6 linked regions of the Callithrix jacchus genome follow. The protein of the gene in region 6 binds, or shares a complex with, the protein of the main gene of each other region. Links are inferred from orthologs where the notes say so. Each region holds a gene or a part of one and is shown on either strand. Other genes may lie near its edges.

Evidence for each region.
Region 1: TUBGCP2 (region 6) and NME7 share a complex: the UniProt entries of both Homo sapiens proteins name them as parts of the gamma-tubulin ring complex. The link is inferred for Callithrix jacchus from reciprocal best matches to the Homo sapiens genes TUBGCP2 and NME7.
Region 2: TUBGCP2 (region 6) and TUBG2 share a complex: the UniProt entries of both Homo sapiens proteins name them as parts of the gamma-tubulin ring complex. The link is inferred for Callithrix jacchus from reciprocal best matches to the Homo sapiens genes TUBGCP2 and TUBG2.
Region 3: TUBGCP2 (region 6) and TUBGCP4 share a complex: the UniProt entries of both Homo sapiens proteins name them as parts of the gamma-tubulin ring complex. The link is inferred for Callithrix jacchus from reciprocal best matches to the Homo sapiens genes TUBGCP2 and TUBGCP4.
Region 4: TUBGCP2 (region 6) and TUBGCP5 share a complex: the UniProt entries of both Homo sapiens proteins name them as parts of the gamma-tubulin ring complex. The link is inferred for Callithrix jacchus from reciprocal best matches to the Homo sapiens genes TUBGCP2 and TUBGCP5.
Region 5: the proteins of TUBGCP2 (region 6) and TUBGCP3 are in contact, whole or in part, in a cryo-EM structure (PDB 8Q62), measured with the Homo sapiens proteins. The link is inferred for Callithrix jacchus from reciprocal best matches to the Homo sapiens genes TUBGCP2 and TUBGCP3. Residues at the interface, in NP_006650.1 of Homo sapiens: Gln172, His173, Pro175, Ile176, Phe177, Pro178, Trp180, Arg184, Ala186, Leu187, Ile188, Gly189, Phe191, Leu222, Tyr223, Val226, Val228, Asp229, Gly230, Arg231, Glu278, Ser281, Phe283, Gln287, His290, Ala291, Ala294, Arg297, Val300, Lys301; in NP_006313.1 of Homo sapiens: Glu272, Asn273, Cys274, Ser286, Leu287, Asp289, Thr290, Val292, Arg293, Glu296, Trp299, Ser361, Thr363, Leu364, Arg365, Leu368, Val369, Tyr372, Lys375, Ile376, Lys379, Ala382, Ala383, Asp386, His387, Ala402, Tyr403, Lys405, Thr406, Gly407.

What each region holds. Positions count from the first base shown.
Region 1 is NC_133519.1:33,151,153-33,154,652, reverse strand, and holds part of NME7 (nucleoside diphosphate kinase homolog 7), read right to left. Parts: intron 3,457-3,500; coding exon 3,290-3,456; intron 1-3,289. UniProt on the Homo sapiens protein: Possesses an intrinsic kinase activity. Displays 3'-5' exonuclease activity with a preference for single-stranded DNA. Does not seem to have nucleoside diphosphate kinase activity.
Region 2 is NC_133506.1:121,228,168-121,232,150, forward strand, and holds the start of TUBG2 (tubulin gamma-2 chain), read right to left. Parts: upstream 2,801-3,983; 5' UTR 2,579-2,800; coding exon 2,530-2,578; intron 2,259-2,529; coding exon 2,146-2,258; intron 1,940-2,145; coding exon 1,772-1,939; intron 1,452-1,771; coding exon 1,383-1,451; intron 886-1,382; coding exon 859-885; intron 1-858. UniProt on the Homo sapiens protein: Tubulin is the major constituent of microtubules, protein filaments consisting of alpha- and beta-tubulin heterodimers. Gamma-tubulin is a key component of the gamma-tubulin ring complex (gTuRC) which mediates microtubule nucleation.
Region 3 is NC_133509.1:31,143,768-31,147,267, reverse strand, and holds part of TUBGCP4 (gamma-tubulin complex component 4), read right to left. Parts: intron 2,296-3,500; coding exon 2,161-2,295; intron 704-2,160; coding exon 587-703; intron 1-586. UniProt on the Homo sapiens protein: Component of the gamma-tubulin ring complex (gTuRC) which mediates microtubule nucleation.
Region 4 is NC_133507.1:1,819,763-1,823,763, reverse strand, and holds the start of TUBGCP5 (gamma-tubulin complex component 5), read right to left. Parts: upstream 2,801-4,001; 5' UTR 2,765-2,800; coding exon 2,619-2,764; exon of another isoform or gene 1,296-2,618; intron 196-1,295; coding exon 142-195; intron 1-141. UniProt on the Homo sapiens protein: Component of the gamma-tubulin ring complex (gTuRC) which mediates microtubule nucleation.
Region 5 is NC_133502.1:28,000,516-28,004,015, forward strand, and holds part of TUBGCP3 (gamma-tubulin complex component 3), read right to left. Parts: intron 1,918-3,500; coding exon 1,728-1,917; intron 1-1,727. UniProt on the Homo sapiens protein: Component of the gamma-tubulin ring complex (gTuRC) which mediates microtubule nucleation.
Region 6 is NC_133513.1:126,631,928-126,635,427, forward strand, and holds part of TUBGCP2 (gamma-tubulin complex component 2), read right to left. Parts: intron 2,940-3,500; coding exon 2,811-2,939; intron 1,948-2,810; coding exon 1,771-1,947; intron 523-1,770; coding exon 363-522; intron 1-362. UniProt on the Homo sapiens protein: Component of the gamma-tubulin ring complex (gTuRC) which mediates microtubule nucleation.

The sequences.
Region 1 (3,500 bases), on a different chromosome or scaffold from region 6:
TATTTAGCATTTACTATAATGTTGTTCACCTTTCTCCCTTTCATTTGATTAGATGGTTTGCTTTCCGGCTGAGATTCAAAAGGAATGGGACTGCTGAATGTAAATATGTGGCTCAGTACTTAAAATTAATGAATTCTTAAATAGGATACTGGCATTATTTTTCATTAATTTTTATAAACTTCTTACTATAGCTATAAAGCTACCAAAGTAAACATTTAATACCTCATTTATCATATGGGGAATAGCTTCCTTGTCATATAAAATTCCTCTATCATTCATGTACACACATACATATATATATTGACTCTTCATATGAAAACTTTTTAATTATTTCTGGTTTGAGGTAATAAATTTTTAGAAAGACACAAATTGTATTGTGTCTCTACAACTAAACAACAGAGTCATAAAGCATCAATTGATTACTAGCTAAAATTAAAATCAAAGACTGACTCATTGACAACTTGTAACCTTCATCCATGTGATTAGAGGATCTTTATATAGAGAGGATAGAAATGTGAACCAAATGTCAGATTTCTACAGTCGAAGGGAATTGGAAAGCTGAAGCTAGTTCATGAGTTAAATTGAATTATATTAAATTATCTGGATAACTGCTCCTCAGTTAGCTCCATGGGATCAATTTCACTGATCATCCTCACTACCAGCTTTATTACAGAAACAAAAGACTAAAGTGTAATTCGTTCATAAATTTTCCTCAACACTATACAAAACTGAGAACTAGACTAAATCAGTTATTATACAGAAGGTGTTTCTGTAGAATGCTGACAGACATATACATATATTTTCATATCTTTACTTTTTGCCATTTAAATAAAACAATACATTTTTGAAACTCTTGGGTTTCGAAGAAATTTATTTAAATCACCCAAAGGGCTGCTGGATTTTCTAACCCATATGGAGTTAAGAAAGAGTAAGAAGAGAAGATGGTGAATCAATTTGAGTTAGTAAAATATATACTGTATATATTTTCATTAACTATATGAAGCCCAAATACTTCAAATTTGTCTTCATATTAAAATAGAATTCTTCCGTTCCTCCTGTTTTCAAATCAGTCCCATTCAACAGCACCTGCCCTATTAATTAGAGGTTTAGTAGAAAGAGAATGAATTTTAGACAAAAAATACAATTTCCCTTTACTTTCTAGCTGTGTGACTACAGACAAGTTACTTACCCATTCTATAAAATAGATTTAACAACATTCACTTCTGTCAAATCAGAATTAAAATATGTAAATTATAATTTTAATGGCTATTTTATTTTTATTAGGTCAGACTCTTAACCCTGCCTCCCTAAGTCACTTATTTTGCTAGTTTAAATATTTAAAGTAGTCTTCCAGCGTAAGCAAGATGGCAAAACTGCATTTCTACCAAAACACCAAAAAATTAGCCAGGCATAGTGGTGCAGGGCTGTAGATTCACCTACCCAGGAGACTGACCTGGGAGGATCACTTGAGCCTGGGAAGTCAAGGCTACAGTGAGCTATGATCATGCCACTTCACTTCAGCCTGAGTGACAGAGCCAGCAGACCCTGTCTCAAAAATAATAATAATAAAATAAAGTAGTCTTGAACTGAGGTGTATGTAAAGTGAGTATTGTAATGACTGGCATATAGTATGTGCTCCATAAACGAATGCTACATATATTTATTAGTTTTAAATAAAGGAATTATGGTTGGCATTTCCTTAATCCCATAGACTTTTACATAAGATCTCATAACATTAAAAGATCCTTATTTAATATCTGAAATGTTTGTCCTATTTCAAAGGGAGTCTTTGGTCTTCCTTTTTTATGAGGCATTCACCACCCCTCTGATCCATTTGTGTACTAACACCATTTGTGTACTAACAGCCACACTGAGAATCCAGTCACCTCAAGAATTATAAAGTGCTTGTATAGAAAGACTATGGAAGTCACAGAAAGAGATACCATGTTATTATGAGAGTGACTCAGATGCTATGCAATCAGCTAATCATTTGAGTAGTAGATTTCAAAAAACAGTTTGATTGATTTGTTTTCCCTATTGAATTAAGTCATTTTTGGAGCCTTTTATACATACAGTCTTAACTTCTACTAATAATCCCTATTTTTAGTTACAATACCAATCACTCTGCAGGAAAAAAAAATCTCCCCAAACCATATAAAATATAAGCTACAGCAATCAGAGCCAAGAAAGATGACAAAGGAATTAAAATTTCATTTCAAATATAATTAATTCTAGTCTTAGAAACTGGAAACTCATAAATGCAGAGACTGAAAATTAAAATGCCATTGTGCTAATATTGAAAATCAATATTCGGAAGAAAAACATTATCAAAAGTCCTAGTTTTCTGTAAGTCTAACTTTCAATTGCATCTTCAAATTGTTCTCTCTTCTAATTTTTTTCTTAACCCCTTTTACAGATGACTGTATCTCTTCTAAATCAAAACTGAGAAAATGAATGATAAATGCAGTTTTGACAAACAATAGAGAGAATAGAGACACAGGTGGAGGCATCATGCTACAGTTTGTCTTTCATAGAATGAGCCACATGCAGTGGGAGGAAGAGAAGGAGGCGGGATGCCAGCCATTGGGAAACCCTTCCTTTGACATACCATACTCCAGACATTTCGATGACATCAATTTATTCACTCATTTATTTAACAAACTTTTGTGGGTCACACTCTGAATAATTTACTGTTTGAGGTATCGCTATAACAGTTTTTAGAGATACAGTTACAAACAAGACAGATCAGTCTCCCAGTATCACAATTTCTTTATATGGTTTCTTTCCTTTTTCCTTTTTACAACACTCATATTGTCATTTTTCAATTGATCAGTTGATCAACATTTCTTAGATATATATGTCTGTTAATAAAGCTCAAGAACAGACAGCATTAGTTACAAACAATCTAGACAAAATCTTCCTGGTCAACTATATCAAAGATCATCATTTGAAAACAGGGAGAAAATGGAAAAAGGAAAGAATAAATAATAGATTTTTAAATTGTGATTTATGAATTCATTCAGCTAATACAGAGAAGGTGCTTGCATTATGGAAGGAGACGTGCTAAGTGCCACAGGAGACATAAATATGATTAAGTCAGATGAGACATAAACAACTATGATATTATCAATTATTTTTCAATTAAAAAGAAAAGAAAAAGAAAGAATGAAGACAACCATTTTCCAGGTCCTATTTGTCCTCATTATGGTTAAACCTCCCAGTCTTAATTCTGCCTGACTTTGGGCTTAAAGTCAGAGAATGGAAAAAGAATACATAATTATTTTCTTACTTTTCTTTCCTACTTCCCAGCTGGCGAGCTGTATATTGATCTCCATAGTCAATTAATACCAACTGTCGAGAAAAGACATTCACTTTGTTGCCTATAAATAAATCTTCCAAGTGCAGGTTATCATATTTGGTCCGCTTTAAAAAGGTACGATGATTCTTTACATCATGCTAGAACCAGAAACAACAATATAATGAACAAAAAAAATTATTAA
Region 2 (3,983 bases), on a different chromosome or scaffold from region 6:
GAACTCCTGGGCTCAGGTGATCCACATGCTTTGGCCTCCCAAAGTGCTGAGATTACAGGCATGAGCCACTATGCCTAGTTGACATTTTCAATTTATGATGGGTTTACATCCTGATAAAGCCATTGTAAGTTGAGGAGTATCTGTACCTGAAGATAGCATCAGATCCCACAGAGTGAAGGCTCAGTTCCACAAGATTCTCCTACTCCTAATGCCAATAGAAGCTTCAGGTTGTGTTAGCTGTGCCTCTGACCAACCAGCTATAAATCAGCGTTCTCAGGACTGCTCCTTGGGTTCAATTCATTTGTTACAGTAGCTCACAGAACTCAAGGAGACACTTATGTTTCCCCATTTGTTATAAAGGATATTTTAAAGGATACAAATAAACAGCCAGATGAAGACATTGAGGGGAGGCTCTGGAAAGGTCTGGAGCACAGAACTTCTGCCCTGTGTGTTGGGTTTGCACCTTCCCAGCATGTGGATGTATTCTTGCTCACCTTCCTGGAAGCCCCCGAACTCAGTCCTTTTGGATTTTTATGGAGGCTTCATTACACAGGCATGATTGATTAAATCACTGGCAATTGATGCGCAACTCAATCTTCACTCCTTCTCCCCTCCCCAGAGGTGAGGGGTGGGCCTGTAAATTCCAACCCTCAGAGCACCAGGCTTGTTTCCCTGGTAACCAGCCCCCAATCCAGTGGCTATCTGGGACTTTCCAAACATCACCTCAATGACATAAGCTCAGATTTGGTTGAAAGGCATTTGTTCCTCCTTAGTACAGTGGTTAGTAAAATTAACTAATTAAATAAAATGACAGATTAAAAGAAAGGGGCGTGTTATAAATAACAGACTGTCTTTCACCTTTATCACTCTGGAGCTGTTCTGGAGCTGTTTCAGAAACCAAGGACAAAAGGTCAAATATTTTAACAAAACATACCCTTATTGCTCAAGTCTCTTAGGAAATTACATGGGTTATAAGAACTGTGAGCCGGGAACATACTGCACCCAGCATGGGGAGAGATGGAGAGGCAGTCTCCAAGGTTCTGGGGGAGAGACTTCGGCATGACTCATTCCCCATTCCCAAAACGCCCATGTCTCAAAGCTTCCTCTTATGTATCCAGGCTGAGGCTCCTTGGGAAGGTTTGGAGCTGGTGAAGAAGCTGAATGACTCATGCCTAAGGGGCCGGTGCCATCCCGATTTATGACTTCCTTGAGAACAAAGACTATATCTTATTTACCTCAATATTCCACATCTGATGCTCCATAAATGGGTTTTGAATTGAATTGCTCCCCTCACATCACCTATTCAGGCCACCTCCTGACCTTTCCCCAGCACTCTTCAGCCTAGCCTCCCTCCCATTCCTTCCCCTGCTCCATAACTTCACCTCTAAACTGTCACTTCCATCTGCTTCTCGGTCTATGATGTCAAAGATGTCTTCATGAATTTTCTCACCCTGTATAGAGATATGGAAAAGGAGTCAGGACAAAGGTTCCAGAGCTCATCTTTTCTCAGCACAGCACCAAGAATTCTGTCTTCCCTGGGATATTGTTGCCACCCTGAAGCAGACCCAGGGCTGTAGCCCTCAACCCAGAAGTGCTACTTTTGCAAATGATTTGCACAAAATTTGCATAAACCTCTCCCTGACTGTCTCTCTTGTTCTGGGCATCCTTTTCTCTCTTATTTTCTGTCAGTCTGGTCAAATTCCTAGTAGCTTGAGCCTGCCTTGCCTCTGGGTGGGAATATCAAAGGTCTCTGGAATGGTGGCCTGGACACCTGGGAAAATCCACTGGCCCAGTTGTTGCCAGCTCCTCCTCCATGCTCCGACAGGTAGATGTTCTCTGGGTTGTAGAGCTTGGCATAGGGGGAGTTGAGGATGGAGTGGATCACCCGGGGCTCCAGGTCCAGCAGCACGGCCCGGGGGATGTAGTGCTCATCATCTGCCTGTCAAGGAGAGTCCAGGAGGAAGACCAATCAGCCAGGGCGGCCCAAGTCCTAAGTCCTCCCAACTCTGGCTCCCTGGGCCCTCCCTCCTCAAGCCAGCCGCCTGGCCCCTTTGCCCAGTGGGGCTCCCCTTCCAGTACCAGGCCACTCCCTTCCCTTCCGGCCCTTTGGGCCACTGCCGCCCCTGGCCAAGTTGCTGGGGGCACCTGGTAGAAAAAGACGTCCTTGCGGTCAGTGCCCTCGGTGGCGAACTCCTCCACGATGCCCTCAGGGCTGATACCATGCTCGGCGCACAGCTGTTTCCAGAACTCGAACCCAACTGGGGGAGGAGGGAGATGCCCGGGTCTGCTAGAGCCTTAAGGCCTGAGGAACCCAGTTTTAGTCTCAGAGGCTGACACGATCAGAGGGTGGACCCAAGATGTGGGGGTCTGGGAGCTGCCCCAGCTCCGGGCTGGAGGCGCAGCTTTGGTCGGGTTATCCAGAGCAGCAGGGTAGGGGGTTCATGGAAGGGAAAGGTGGAAGCCAGGCACTTGGGTGGGACCCGAAGGGGCAGAACCAGAGACCGGCGGGGCCGGCGCTCTCTTGCTCACTCTGGTTGCCGCACTGGCCCAGCTGCAGGGTGATGATCTCCCGGGGCATCACTCTTCAGACGTGGGCGCGCCAGCCCCGGCCTGGCGAGAGTCACGGCTGAGACGAATGCCTGGCAGCCAGGCGCGCCAGACGTGGGGAGCGCGCTCTCTCTTCCCCTCTTGACGCGGATGCTCGGTCTGCGCGTGTGCAACGCAGGCCTTTCCTCGGCCGGCGGGCCGAGGAGCCCAACCTGGGCATCATTTTCTCCCTCAGCAGTCGCAGCTGGAATTCGGCACAGGCGCAGAGTGAGGCCACGCCCGCTCCTGCCCACCGGTCCGCGCCTGCGCAGTGAGACTCGTTGGGGGTGGCAAGGTCGGAACCTGGATGTGTGGGGGGAAGAGAGGGGAGGAGAGGGAAGGAGAGGGAAGGGACGCGGAGGGGAGCAGAGGGACAGGGAGGGGAAGAAAGGGGCGGAGCAACCAGGTGGATGTGGTTGTCCAGGTATAGAGTCACCTACCTATATTGGTAGGTGAGTGACTGTCAGCTTTGCTAGTTCCAGGTGCTAGAAGCCAGCTTTTCTTCTTTTAAATTTCTGTTTTTTAATGGTGTTACAATACACACATACACATGTATGTAACCTTTTTATTTTTTATTTTTTAGAGGGGTCTCGCTCTGTCACCCATGCTGGAATACAGTGGCGCGATCATAGCTCACTGTAGCCTTGAACTTCTGGCTTAAGTGATCCTCCCACCTCAGCCTCCCGAGTAGCTGGAACTACAGGCATGTGCCACCATGCCTAGCTAATTTATATATATGGTTTTTGTTTGTTTGTTTGTTTGTTTGAGACAGAGTCTCGCTCTGTTGCCCAGGCTGGAGTTCAGTGGCACGGTCTCAGGTCACTGAAACCTCCGCCTCCTGGGTTCAAGCAATTCTCCTGCCTCAGCCTCCCAAGTAGCTGGAATTACAGGTGCCCGTGACCACACCCAGCTAATTTTTGTACATTCAGGATTTCACCATGTTGGCCAGGCTGGTCTCAAACTCCTGAACTCAAGCGATCCGCGGGTCTCGGCCTCCCAAGGTGCTGGGATTACGCAAAGTGCTGGGATTACGCAAAGTGCTGGGATTACGGGCGTGAGCTGTGCCTGGCCATTTAAATTTTTTTTTTTTTTTAGACAGTCTCCCTCTGTTGCCCAGGGTGGAGTTCAATGGCACAATCTCGGCTCACTGCAGCCCCCATCTCCTAGATTCAAGTGATTCTTCTGCCTCAGCCTCCCGAGTAGCTGGGACTACAGACACGTGCCACCACGCCTGGCTAATTTTTTTGTATTTTTAGTAGAGACAGGGTTTCACCATATTGGCCAGCTGGTCTCGAACTCCTGACCTCATAATCGACCAGCCTCAGTCTCCCAAAGGGCTGGGATTACAGGTGTGAGCCACCATGCCTGACCTAAAATGTATTTTTATAAAGATGGGG
Region 3 (3,500 bases), on a different chromosome or scaffold from region 6:
CTTCAACTCAACAACTCTCCATAAGGAGGAGGGGGCAGAGGGGGGAGTTTCTTGGAAAAGCCTTGTTCAAAATTATATAGAACCACCTGGCCTTCCCACATTCCTATTTCTATTAGTTCCTAAAATGACTTGTACCAAATCTATACTTGCATGACTTCCTATGAAAGTACGCTTTCATCAGGAGGAATTTAGTAGCTGGTTTCCAGTTAACATATTTTGTCAAGTACCGAGGTTGGGGAAAACCCGTTTTGATTATAAGCAGGTAATTATCTCAGTGAGATGGGGTTTAGTTAGTTCAAGGAAGTAAGGAGGGGTAGGATGTGAGGAAGTTAGAACAAAGCCAGTGCTTATTTGGTGGGCTGAATAAACTATTCAGGACTGAACTACTTTTGAGCACTATGAGGTGGCACAGTAATTACGTGCTTCAAAGGCAACTGATACCAACATTTTAATCTTTGTATCTTCTTTCTGTGCGTGTGTGTATTGAGGAAATGTCTTAATGATTCAGAGGAAAGATAATGAATTCTCCATTGGCAAAACCACCTCTATCCTTTCAGCAAGGCTGCATACTTCCAGGCAGACGCACCTTCACGAGAATGCTCAGCTGGGCGGCTCCACGCTCATCCAGTGGGCCTAGGTTCTGACTGACCAGCGAACAAAAACTGTGACAGAGATCTAGGATTTCATTCAGGCAGTGAAATACCTACCCAGGAAACAGAGTTGGCATTAGGAAAAGGAAGGAAGGTACCTTCATGAAATTAAAGATTTGGGAGAACAGTCTAATTAGTAGCTGACCTCCCAAATCTGAGAAGATAGACACTGCCACTTTGCAAGGCCTGCCAGCCCCTCAAATACACATAATGTGTAAAACAAACACATCCCTTCCTGGCTAAGCTGGTATTACTCTCTCAGCCCTGCAGCAAACCTCCACTCTGGCCACATTTAACTCTTCGTTTCTTAGACCCACAGAGTGTGTTCCTGCCTCTGAGCTGTGAGTGTTGTTCCCTTTGCCCCGGATGCTCTTCTTTTTAATACTAGTTCAGGTCCTACCCACTCTCTCAGTGAAGCACTCCCTTCCACACTGTAGCCTTTAGTGAACCCCCATTTCTTGCTTCTTTATTATCTGTACTGTTGTCCACTTGGCAATTGTTCAGGCCTCTGTGTTGTTAATGATTTTTGTATGTATATATGTCTTGTTTTTCCAACTAGATTGTGAGCTCCTTAAGGGCAGAGCCATGACTTATACCTCTTTGTATCCCCAGTGCCTTGCATACAGTAAGCACTCAATAAATAATTAACGATGATGATCTCTTCTGATAGTCTGCTTTTCCCTACAGATACATCTGTGCCACATAAAGACAGTGTCTACCCATCACAGTAGTTTTGGGTTATTTTCAGCCAGCCCTTTGGACTGGCATCTATTAATATATAACTTACCCTTCTTCGTACAGCAGAAATAGCCCTAAACACCAGAACAAAATGGTCCCTAACAGCTGTGCTACAGCACACTGAGGAATAACAACTAGCAGTGTTATGTCAGAGATGAAGCATAACCATTACATTAGAAACTACAAGAGATCATTTCAATCTTCCTGTTCTTTATCCTGGAATTGGAACTAGCTTGTGAGCTTTAAAAAATATTGGTACCTGGATCCCACTATTATAGGGACTCTAATTTAAGTGCCGTCACCTAGATATTTTTAAAGGGTCCTGATGATTCCAATGTAGTGCGATAAAGGAGATACATTATGTACTTAATAGAAACACGTACACACATCCAGAGAGAAACACTACTTGTCTATGAAAAGAACTCTCAAATGAATGATCCATCCTGGTCCAAAGACTTCTTAGAAGGTGGACTCCATATGCTTTTCATTGGTTTCTCTGTACTGTCAAGCAAGGTTTTTGAGTTTAACTCCTGAGCGTTTAAGCACAAATAATTCTTTCATCTATAGCTGCTTACCATGCCCTATAATTTCAGAAATTCAAAGACATCTTAGGTCCCTTTGAACATGCCCTTTTAGTTTTGCTTTATACATTCTTTAAAAATGTTTTAAAATGAGTAATTGCTTAATGATAGTTTCATTTCTTGTCAACTAAGAGTGCCTGAAGGAATGGTCAGTATTAGAAGCAGTTTAGGAACCAATGACTCTTACTTACAGGTTTCAATAGGATAAAGGATTGAGCCAGCAAATTGCTCAGGAAGTGGTCATGAGCCAATCGGATGCTTTCAAAGTCTCGGGTAGAATTGATTTGATGAAGCAGCTGGGAGAACTGAGACTCCAACACATCTACCTGACAGACATTACACAAAAATTTTAGCACCTTGCATATTCTAAGGACTAGTTGAAATGAAAATGCTTTGCCCCCACTCATCTTCCTTCTAACCAAGCCACTTTTAAGGCTAACCAAAGACACCCTTATATTGCCCACCCTTGTAGGAAGTTACTTGCATAATTCTTTACCCCCTCCAACGGCTGACCCCCTCCAATGGCTTTACCCCCTTTACCTTGGCTGACCACTCTCCCCTGTCCCATCTTTTTTTCTTTTTTTGAGATGGAATCTTGCTCTGTCTCCCAGGTTGGCGTGCAGCACAATCTTGGCTCATTGCAACCTCTGCATTCTAGGTTCAAGTGATTCTCCTGCCTCAGCCTCCTAAGTAGCTGGGATTACAGGTGCCCACCACCATACCTGGCTATTTTTTCTATTTTTTCGTGACCTCAGGCGATCCACCTGCCTTGGTCTCCCAAAGTGCTGGGATTACAGGTGTGAGCCACCGTGCCTAGACTCCCCTGCTCCATCCTAACCCACTCATGTCACATCCCCTCCACTGACTGATTTGGTCACCTATTGGATTCCAGAAGTGATAGCAAAGAATAAAAATAAGGGGCAAGTCAATAATAAATAACAGATTGCTGATAAGGAGCCTTTAAAATGCCTTTAAGAGGCTAATGTCAGTTCATGCCTATAATCACAACACTCTGGGAGGCAAACACGCAGGAGGATCACTTGAAGCCAGGAGTGAGGTGTTTTTTTTTTTTTTTGAGACAGAGTCTTGCTCTGTCGCCCAGGCTGGAGTGCAGTGGTGCAATCTTGGCTCACTGCAACCTCCACCACCTGGGGTCAAGCCATTCTTTTGACTCAGCCTCCCAGGTAGCTGGGTCTATAGGCATGTGCTACCACACCCAGCTAATTTTTCTGTATTTTTAGTAGAGATGGGTTTCACCATGCTGGCCAGGCTGGTCTTGAACTCCTGACCTCAAGTGATCTGGCCACCTCGGCCTCTTAAAAGTGCTGGGATTACAAACGTGAGCCACTGTGCGTGGCCGAAGCCAGGATTTTGCGACCAGCCTGAGCAATAAAGTGAGACTCCATCTCTACAAAAAAATTTAAAAACCTAGGCATGATGGCATGTATCTGTAGTCACAGCTACTTGAGAGGCTGAGGCAGGGGGATCACTTGAATCCAGGAGCTTGAGGCTTCAGTGAGCTATGACTGCA
Region 4 (4,001 bases), on a different chromosome or scaffold from region 6:
TCCCTTGAACCAGGGAGTGGGAGGTTGCAGTGAGCCGAGATTGAATGCCACTGCACTTCAGCCTGGCGACAGAGTGAGGCTCTATCTCAAAAAAAGAAAATACATATATTTCTGAATGTATACATATATACACTGACTTACCCTTCAATTGTCTTTTCTATTTTGTGGCTGTTGACATCCAAGAAACGATGAAATCTAATAAAGACAAAATGTAGCTCTTATGCCAACTCGTCACATAGGTAAGTGAATTCATTTCATGGCCCTCCGCATCGCCCATAAGCCCTGTACTCAGCTACACATTTTCAGAATGGAGTGTACCTCGTCCTCCGTTACCTTCACCATCAGGCAGGCAAATAAGCCTCGGGTCCAGGACTATGCAAGCATCCTTTCCTCAGCACACAAATGCTTCCTGAGCCTCCCAACCTTGTTCTCTGGCTCCTCTATCTTCCCATAAGGCCCCGTATCTAAGTCCAGCAGAACACATTCTACAACAAGTGTTCCCAATCTTTCTACGTCATAGTGAGGCCCAGTGAAGCATAAGGACCCCTTCTCTGAATAACGTTTTTAAATGCCAAAAAAGAAATACAAAGGAATCCGATTATACTGAGATAAGTTGTCAAATATTTCAGTAAGTTTATGGCAAGAAATGTTATTTATGAAAGCATTAAATAACAACATTTAGCAGTAGGTCCAATAACCATTAAAATAACAGTAAACAACATTTACAAACATCTACCACTCTTACTATAATGCGAAAACAGTATGCGATTTCTACTGGTAATAAAAGTCATAGGTAGTCTAATACTACTAGGATTTTCTGCCTTCATTCATAATGGAAGGAGATGCTACTTTTCAGTTAGAGATTAGTAGAATATTTTCCTCATCCAAATTGACAAATTTCTGAATTATAAAAGTCCCTATCATATAATATACTGTGATTAACTTTTGTCTCTTTCTTAAAGACGGAGGCTATATCTTACTCATCTTTGAATTTCTAGGGCCTAGAATTCCAAATGGCCACAATTTAAAAAAATGTAAACATGTACTATTCATTTTTCTGATGCTTTAAAGCATCATAAAATTAGAGCATAGCCTATGCAACTAATGTATATGTATACAGCATAGCCTATGCAAAAAACGTTTTGCCTTTTAGTATCACAGCCAGCAATCTGTACTCAAAAGAAATACAATTTCACTACTGAAAACAACATCTGATTCTATTCCAATAAATGGCTAAATGGAACACCACTTTACCTATGATTTCTTTCCTGAAATCTGTGAAAGTAAATACTAACCTCTAAGGTCTCTTCCAGCTCTAAAATGATGAACATCTGCTGCTGTCATTTACGTATATTAATAGAAAAATAACTTGGGATTCAGCATTTACATTTCTGTATTGTATAACCTATTTCGCACACTGTTTATTTTTATAAGTTACAGTTAAGAATTCAGTTATTACTTCGGAAACTTGGCATGCTTTAAAAGAATCTGAAAGCCCTGTATTCCTACTACGAACCAACTAACTAGATACTTTACCGGCTGTGATCGTTAAGGTAACTAAGATCACAGGTTTTGAAAACCTAATCATTATTCAAGAAGATTTTTACTGAAATTAAACAGGTACGACATGAACATTCTTTCAGTAATAATTTCATTATGAGTAACGAACTAAAGTATTGTTTAATTTACATCTCCCATAAAGAAAAACAGGAGATCTCAATCCATCTAAATATCTAAACTCTGTAAGTCTCTAAAAATTAGTTACAAGAGGCCGGGCTTGGTGCTCACGCTTGCTATCCCAGCACTTTGGGAGGCCAAGGGGTGGGGGGGCAGATCACGAAGTCAGGAGATTGAGACAATCCTGGCTAACATGGTGAAATCCCGTGTCTAAAAAAAAAAAAAAAAAAATAGCGTAGGGTGGTGGCATGCACCTTGGGGAGGCTGAGGCAGGAGAATCGCTTGAACCCGGGAGGCCGAGGTTGCAGTGAGCAGTGATCACGCCACTGCACTCCAGCCTGGGCTACAAAAACAAAACAAAACATAACAAAAACCAACCAACCAAACAAGAAATTAGTTACAAGAGAAACTGCATTAGCAATGGTATTAGGTGACTTAGCGTGCTACGTGCCAGGAGCTGTGCAGGGATGCAGCATTCTAGCTGGAGTGCAAGCAGAGGAGACAGTAATGACAGGTTACATCAGTGTCCTAACACGCGTTTTTGAAAAAGGAAAGCAGAGTGAGAGGGAGCTTGTACTGGCTGACGAGAGAACAGAAATCAGTGAGAATACAATCTCTTTACTTAAAAAGAAAAAACTATATAGAGATGGAGTTGCTACGTTGCCCAGTCTGGCCTCGAGTTCCGCCTGGGCCTCCCACAGCGCTGGGGTTGCAGGCGCGCGTCCCGCCCTGCAAGAACCCAGTTCCACGCTTCCCCCGTGACTATCAGGAGAGCCTGGCCGGCGTGGAGCTGGCGGCGGCAGGGCCTGAGAGGGCTCCACGAGGCCGCGTCCGCCTCCGTCCCCGCTCCGCCCCGGCGCATCCAGTTCCCGGGTTCCGCGGGACCCAAGCGCGGGATCCGGGCTGGGGCCTAGAACCCGCCCCCGCGCCGCGCCCCACACCTAAAGTTGGACCAGGCGAAATTTAGGGCGAGCTGGAAGTTGGGGTCTGTCTCGTCCTGGAGGCCCGCGACACTGCGGATGAGCTCCCGCACGTCGCGCTCCTGCTGCGCGTCCAGCCGGCTCCAAGGATGTCCATGCAGCGCCATGCTCCGCCATGCTCCGCGCTCCCGCAGCGCGCGTCTAGCCACTTGGCGGCTGTTCCCGCGAGAGTTCGGGCTCTCGCGACAGTAGCTTTCTGAGCTGGCGGTTTTCTCGCGATAGTTCGAGCTCTCGTGCCGGGCATCTAGAGAACTGGCAGCTGTTCTCATGGCAGTTCGCGCTCCCGCTCTCGCGGCTACGGCTTGGCGCTGTTCCTTGGCTGGGGCTGGAGTGTACATTTCCTGGTTGCGCGACGGTACGTTTTCCATTGTACTCAGCCGGTGTCATCGTGTCGTATATAAGGATCTCTGGTCAGCCTCGGTGATGATCAGTGACCCTGAGAGCAGCCCGTTAGGTGCCCGGTCAGCATACGTATTGGGACCCGCCTTTCCAGGAACCGTGACCTGCTTAGCTGCTGAACCCTCCTGGCGCTGCAGCTTCTCCCTCCAGTGATGATCTCTGCGGATCTCGGTGCCCCATCCACACAACACAACCAGCATCGGCGTAGCAGCTGTCCCGACCCGCTAGCAACCCCAGTTAGCTCCTGCTCCTCCTGCTCCGCAGGGGCGGCCAGGGGGACTTCATAACCCCATCCGTCCAGAGGTGCGGGGGACTTCATAACCCCACTGGCCAGAGGTGATGGGAGGACTTCATAACCCCCCCGGCCAGAGGTGATGGGAGGACTTCATAACCCCCCCGGCCAGAGGTGCTGGGGAACATCATAACCCCCCCGGCCAGAGGTGCTGGGGGACATCATAACCCCCTCGGCCAGAGGTGCTGGGGGACATCATAACCCCACGTGGCCAGATGTGCTGCGGGGGGACTTCATATTTGTCACCTGGCCAGAGGTGCTAGGAAGATTGCATAATCCTCAGCTGGCCAGAGGCGCAACACCGTTTTTGTTGTCATCAAAGCTGTACCTCTTCAGTGACAATTTTAACTATTGCGTTAAGCAAACCCTCCCCCAAACCCATAACAAATCCCTCTTTATGGTTTTCATGTGATTTATTATCTTGCATTAGTGTGGTAATAGTCGACAACATCTAAAACATAGACAGCATGCTACTGCACACATCTCCTTAGGAGGAGAAAATCACAGCATTAGAGATTATTCGACTGAAGGGAAGTCATACTCTGCCTAGGCAGCCTTTTCGCCTCCAGTTTCAGCTCTCGTCTTTATGCCGGTTTCCCATACCTGTACGTGCAGCTCATATTTTTCTTGACGCACCAAATCCATAATCTAAT
Region 5 (3,500 bases), on a different chromosome or scaffold from region 6:
CAGGCTGGCCTATGAGTTACATGAGCTGATATAATTTCCTTTTAGACCCGATGGTAGAAGGAGAGGTCTCCATCTCATCAGGGTATGTGGGTGTCATGATTCTAAAGGGCCAAGAACCACTACACTCTCAGCAAGCGTTTTCTGAGGGGTACTGACATCTGCTTTTACAACCACGGAGCTAACATGTCTCTAATCAGGGTGACCAAGTTAAGGACATCACCAATCAACTCAGGTATATGTGTAAGCGCTACAAAATGCAGGGCAGAGACAGGTAAGAAAGACACACAACGTCAAATAAGCCTAAAAACTAGAAACGTAAAATACAACATTGAGGAGAAACGAATCTTTCACTTAATAGCAAGAATGCAACACTCAACTTTAAAATTGGGCACAAGGCTAATGCATTCGGCTGCTATCTGATGTGACCTATGACACCATCATGGTCCTAAACCTCACTTTGGTTTCTAATCTCCATCTGCAGCAACTGACCCACATACACACCCCAGACCACCATGGCATCTAGAGACCATTTTCCCTTGAAAAACTCACCACCACTCATAAACAGGTGTTGACCTCATCACAGGTATTTATCATACTAGTGAACCTTCTCACAGTGCAGAATGCTGCTTCCGTGATTATAACTCAAACCTGTCAGCAGACATCAGCTATGACCAAGACATGAGCTTGTCGCAAGCCAGCTATGGCTCTGTATGCCTCAAAACGCCACATCAGTTTTCACACGGAAGAGTGGCTTCCAGCGAGAAGGCAGGAGAGCTTGCATGCCTCAAACAGTGGTTCTCAATGTGGAACCCCACTCAAGCAGCATCACCAGCCGCTGGGAACTTGCTGGAAGTGCAAATCCTCGAGCTCTACCCCACACCTGAGAACCTCATTCTCGGGAAGCGGGCCCACAAGCTACTGCAGCAGGCTTTCTAGTCTGGAATACACTGACACTTGAGGACCTGAGGCCTAAAACAATTGCTTGGGCGGCCCTGACAGGATTTAAAGGTAAGTTACTATTTTGCATCTTAAAGGGAACATTTTAAGTGTCGTAAAAGGAACATCTAAAGAAAAGAAGTTTCATTCTTATAAACACCAGAGTGAACATCTCCAGGCCCGTGACGTGGCCCTGCTGGGGGCTCACGCCTGGCTCTTGCCACCTGGGCAGGGGTCTGCACTATCCCCTCGGCTCTGTGCTGTCTCTAGACCCAGGAGCACAGCAGGCTCCAGTCCAGAACTGCCTCTGTGTCTCCTGGTAGAGAATAACACACACTTAATTCTGAAAGGGAAGACTCCATGAGAAATGTCGGGGAACAAAATGAAAAGAGCAGAAGTTGTGTTTTTATGTGAAACATTAACTACAAATATGAAAGTAAAATTCAATTTTAAAATATATTTTATTTTTCAGATTTATTTCAAACTCAAGCTCAAGTTCATTTTGATTAGACCAACTCCTCACACGTAAAGACTGTTGAAGCGCCACAGTTTTGTTAAGAAAAACCAGCTTCTCTTCTGAATAAAGCACAGGACATGACAATGATGCTCTACTGAAAACAGAGCAAAAATAAAGGGACTTTAACTTTTGAAAATGTTATTCTTTTCCGATTTTATTCAAAAAATATGCTCTGTAAGAATTCAACTCATTTTCCTTTAATATCGTTTATTCTTTTAAACACAAGACTCTTTATCATGTCAAATATATTAAAGAAATCAAAACTGTGTCTTACTTCAGCAAATCCATTAGGTGCCTTATGAAGTCTCCTTGACCAAGAAGCAGGTACCGCCTCATTGCCTGCATGTGGTCCAGCAAGCTGTACTTTTTATTGAGAACATCCAGTAGGTATTTGCTGGTCTCAAAATAAGCAGCATCAATCTTACCCTGAAATGCATTTTCTAAGTCTGTGAATAAGTCTGCAGCTGGAAAGAACAGGGGAAAGCACACAGGCATCCGTAACTTGTATTTTCACAGAGGAGAAATGAAGGCACACGCGTCCAGCCTCAGGGCCAACCACTGTCTGTGGCAACAGTAACAGACTGACCCCAGGCACAGGCAGCTGGACGCTCCACAGGAGACCAGAGCCCTGAGACCACAAAGATGAAAATGCTGCTGCCAGCTGGGTTCACAGCAGACACCTACATTTGTGTCTTTATGATTTCCAAGTCCCTTTCTACACTATAACTAACCTGAAATCCCACCAAAACACACTGGTAATAGGGCAAGTGGGTACTGAGTCACCTGTCCACATCCATAAGACATTTCCATAAATTAGTCTCAAGATGAAAGCAACACATGCAAATAAACCTGATGAATTATACAACTCGAAAAGTTGAGGAGTATTATCACACATCACAGAGTGAACTCCAGGGAGACTGCTGGAGACGTCTAGGGTACAAAACCAGATCGTCACCAAGAAAGACGCCTGACTCTAAGCAGTAATACGGGTGAAAAAAGCACTTCCATAGCTTTCTATTGATAAGAAATACAGTCTCCATGTGGAGACTACCCACACAATAGAGCTGCTTTTATTGCTGATTTACATCTGCAGAGCACAAAACTGTTTTTAAAATGTATCTCAATACTTGACTTCATTAAACCCACAATCATACTTGGGCTATAAAATAACCCCAGTGGGAGGAACAACCTCAGACTGAGAGAAGGCAAAACGCTAGCTCAAGACTAAGTAAGAACAAGGCAAGCTCTTCTGATTCAAGTCACCCAGCTGGAGTATATCAGAGGACTTTTAAGATTTGCTTGTCCTTCAGAATAAGAAAGCAGGTAAGACAGGCCTATCTTAGTGTTATTATTCCAATTACATACTGGTAGTAAAGACTAAAATGCCCCAGTGAAGAACATGCAGTTCTGAGGATGAGTGAGGTCTGCCTGGAGAAATGAAACCATGAAGCCCCTTGATGAGCTCACCACCGTCCTGTTTTAAGGGTATGGGGATCTATTTCCGTTGACTTGCACAGTTTAAATGACATAAAGATTGTTCTCTAGAAATGTTTTCATCATACCCTTGTTTGAGTCATTAAAAATTTTCATTCCATGGCTCAATCCTGTAATCCCAGCACTTTGGGAAGCCGAGGAGGGTAGATCACCTGAGGTCAGGAGTTCGAGACCAGCCTGATCAACATGAAGAAACCCCATCTCTAATAAAATTTAAAAAAAATTAGCCTGGTGTGGTGGCGCATGCCTGTAATCCCAGCTACTCAGGAAGCTGAAGCAGGAGAATCCCTTGAACCCGGGAGGTGGAGGTTGTAGTGAGCCAAGATTGCACCATTGCACTCCAGCCTGGGCAACAAGAGTGTGTCGGGGGGAAATAAAAGAAAATTCATTCCAAAGAGAAGGTCTGAATCAGTCTTAACCAGCTTTAGCCCAAAGCAGCCTATGAAGACACAGAACCCAGAGGCTCCTCAGTGCACTCCTTGCTCTTCAGGGTTTAGGCATCTCTCTTGTGTTCCAGTTTTTAAATTTTCACTCTTTATTCTTTTTTCACATT
Region 6 (3,500 bases):
CTTTAAGAGGCCTCCGAGAGCACGGCCGTAACGAAACCTACGGAGTCAAAATGAGAGCTGCACACGGTTCTGGTGCCTGCAGGTCTGCCCCAGGGCACCAGGGCACCAGGGCACCAGGATGCTGGTTGGGGAGGGGCCGGCTGCAGGCTGTCCTGCAGCTCAGCTCGCAGCTCCGGCAGGAGGGACAGGAGAAGAACCTCCAGGACCCTGGTGAGCCACTCTCTGCTGCCACCCAGGGATGGGAATGCGGAGGCGGCGGCCAGTCAGAGTGGAGCCTCGGGACCTGAGGAAAGGCAGGCCCAGGGGAGGGCTGCGCTGCAGTGTCCTGCCAGGCAGAGGCCAGAAATAAACGCGTCACATACCTATCGGCAAAGCCGTGTCTGTGCTCACGCCGGAGCCAATCAGGAAATCTCCTATCAGTGCAGGTCTCTCGTACACCCACGCTGGGAAGACCGGGAGGTGCTGGCCTGAATTGTTTTTGTTCTGCTTGTCTCGAAGCATCTTTCTTTTAAGTTCCAGAGACTACCAAGGACGTTTTTAAAACAAACCAGAAAGGTACACTTTAGTGTACAACAGACACACCCGCGGAAACAATCGTCTTTGCAAAGACGATAAAGACTCAGCCACACAGAAACGAAGTGCACCTCGGCACTGCCACAGCGTGAGGGGCTGGGAACAGGGCAGATGGGAGTCCTAGCCCTTCTTCTCAGGGGTCCAGGTCCAGCAAGGGGCCCCCCAAGAACCATGAGCACCAGCAGGGGAAACCATGGGAGAGGCTGCACCCCGGCACAGAGCAGCTGTTTCAGAGAAGGGCGCCCTGTGAACAATCAGAATTGCTTCCTCCTGGCAGTGACTACCTTTGCTGGGTGAAAACAGGCTTCAGCAACAGACAAGCATCCTCACCCTGCCGGAGAAGGGCCCCAGGAAGGGTTGAGGCAGCAGCGCCACAACAGGGTGGCTCCTAAAGTGGTCAGAGCACCCGCCCTCCTGTACCAGTGGCTGCCAGAGGCTGACGAAGTTGGCCAGGGCTGGCCCAGCTTTCGGAAGCACTGACTTCCGCTCAGGGTGGGTCAGGGACAGTGGCCGGTGCAAACTGTCTCTGTACTTGGCAGTAAGACCCAGTCTGTCTCCTTACATGCCACACGGGGAGAGCGGTGCCATGGCTGAGGGAGACGTGGACAAAGGCCTGGCATCACATCCGGCACAGATGTGTCCAGCAACCGGCCGGGTCCTTTGGAGCCACTGCACTCGACACACACCCGGCAAGGCCAGGATGCCTCAAGGACGCAGCTCTGAAGGAAGTTTAAAGGCCACAAAGGCAGAAACGTGGCAGCTCCAAGGAGAGAGACTGGGAGATGACTTACATCAAAAGACCAGGGCAGGACAGAAAATCAAAACAAAGTCAGGTAGTACATACAGATGAGGTAACAAAAACGGTTCTATTTTCAAGAGTCTTGAAAATAGAATAATCTGAAAGCATCTCCTCAAAATTGTCAGAAATTAGAGGCATGAATGCGGAGTGAGGACTGGGCGGGGTCAGAGCCACATGCCACCGTGCAGCGTGACTCCCAAGTGGGTAGGAACCTCGCTGGTATTTTTTCTTGTGGTCCAGAATTCTAGGTTTAAAAAATATTAAACATATAGAGCTAGGTCATGATTAAGTGTTAAGCCTCAGTCTCTCTAATAATAAATGACAGAGACGTGCCCTTCCAGCAGGGGCCCGGCACAGCAGTGAGAGTGGGCGCCTGTGGACAGCCACAGATGCAGTACCTGCTGCAGTGTGGAGCCCGTGGCCACGCTGCCAAGCTGCTTCCTCAGCTCCTCGAGCTCCTGCATGGAGATCTTGGAGGCCGCCGCAGGGACGCTGATGCTGGTGGCACTGCTGCCCACAGTGGCGGCTGCAAGCTCAGCTCTTTCTTTCGCATTCTGTTGTAAGTACTGCAGAGTCTAAAAACATGCAAACACGCAAATCTCCACACCAGGCCAGCACAACCCTGGCCACGGTGGATGAGCAGGGACACCACCACCAGGATGGCAGGTGCTCCTCTTAATAGCAAAGCGACGCACATAACAGGCAGGAATCCAGCACAACACACGGGAAACGAGAAGCCCCCAGCCCCAGAGGCTGTTTCTCAGGTTTACATCCATCATGGGTGATCTTTCACTCTGGTTCACCACAAATGTCCTACCTGGCCTTGAAGTGTTACTGGTGAACTGACGGGATGGTGGCGTGGAGAGGGCAGGAGATGCCACCTCAATCCCGATACGGGTGCACGGTGCCACATGGCAGGCCGCATGGCACCTACGAGATGCCACCTTAATCCCGACATGGGCGCACGGTGCCGCATGGCAGGCCGCATGGCACCTACGAGATGCCACCTCAATCCCGACACGGCTGCACAGTACCACATGGCAGGCCGCATGGCACCTACGAGATGCCACCTCAATCCCGACACGGGTGCACGGTGCCACATGGCAGGCCGCATGGCACCTACGAGATGCCACCTCAATCCCGACACGGCTGCACGGTGCCACATGGCAGGCCGCATGGCACCTACGAGATGCCACCTCAATCCCGACACGGCTGCACGGTGCCACATGGCAGGCCGCATGGCACCTACGAGATGCCACCTCAATCCCGACACGGCTGCACGGTGCCACATGGCAGGCCGCATGGCACCTACGAGATGCCACCTCAATCCCGACACGGGTGCACGGTGCCACATGGCAGGCCGCATGGCACCTACGAGATGCCACCTCAATCCCGACACGGGTGCACGGTGCCGCATGGCAGGCCGCATGGCACCTACCTCTCTGTCTTCCGTGAGCTTTGACAGCAGGTACACCAGTGGGTCAAGGTTCCTCGTATTTTTAGATTTCAGTTCGTCATATTTCTTTAGAAAGTCTTCTGGAGTACGAGAGAACTCTGCAATTTTAACCTCAAAAGCACAAACATGAGTGACTTAATGACAGTAATTAATAAAGCACTTTAAAAAAATCTTCAAAAAAATTAAGCACAAAGAACCAAGAGTTAAACTTGGGTAGGCTAAATAATCATCTCTCTGAAACAAACTAAGAAAACTCATCTGAACATTATGTTAAACTTATCCATGTTTTGAGCCAGGCAGTGGCTCACACCTGTAATCCCAGCACTTTGGGAGGTCAGGGCGGGTAGATTGCTTGAGTCCAGGAGTTCAAGACCAGCCTGGGCAAAAGAACAAAACCCCATTTCTTTTTTTTTTTTTTGAGACGGAGTCTCACTCTGTCGCCCAGGCTCGAGTACAATGGCGTGACTTTGGCTCATTGCAACCTCCACCTCCCGGGTTCAGGTGATTCTCCTGCCTCAGCCTTCTAAGTAGCTGGGATTACAGGTGTGCACCACTACACCCAACTAATTTTTGTATTCTTAGTAAAGACAGGGTTTTGCCATGTTGGCCAGGCTGGTCTCAAACTCCTGACCTCAGGTGATCCGCCTGCCCTGGCCTCCCAAAGTGCTGGGA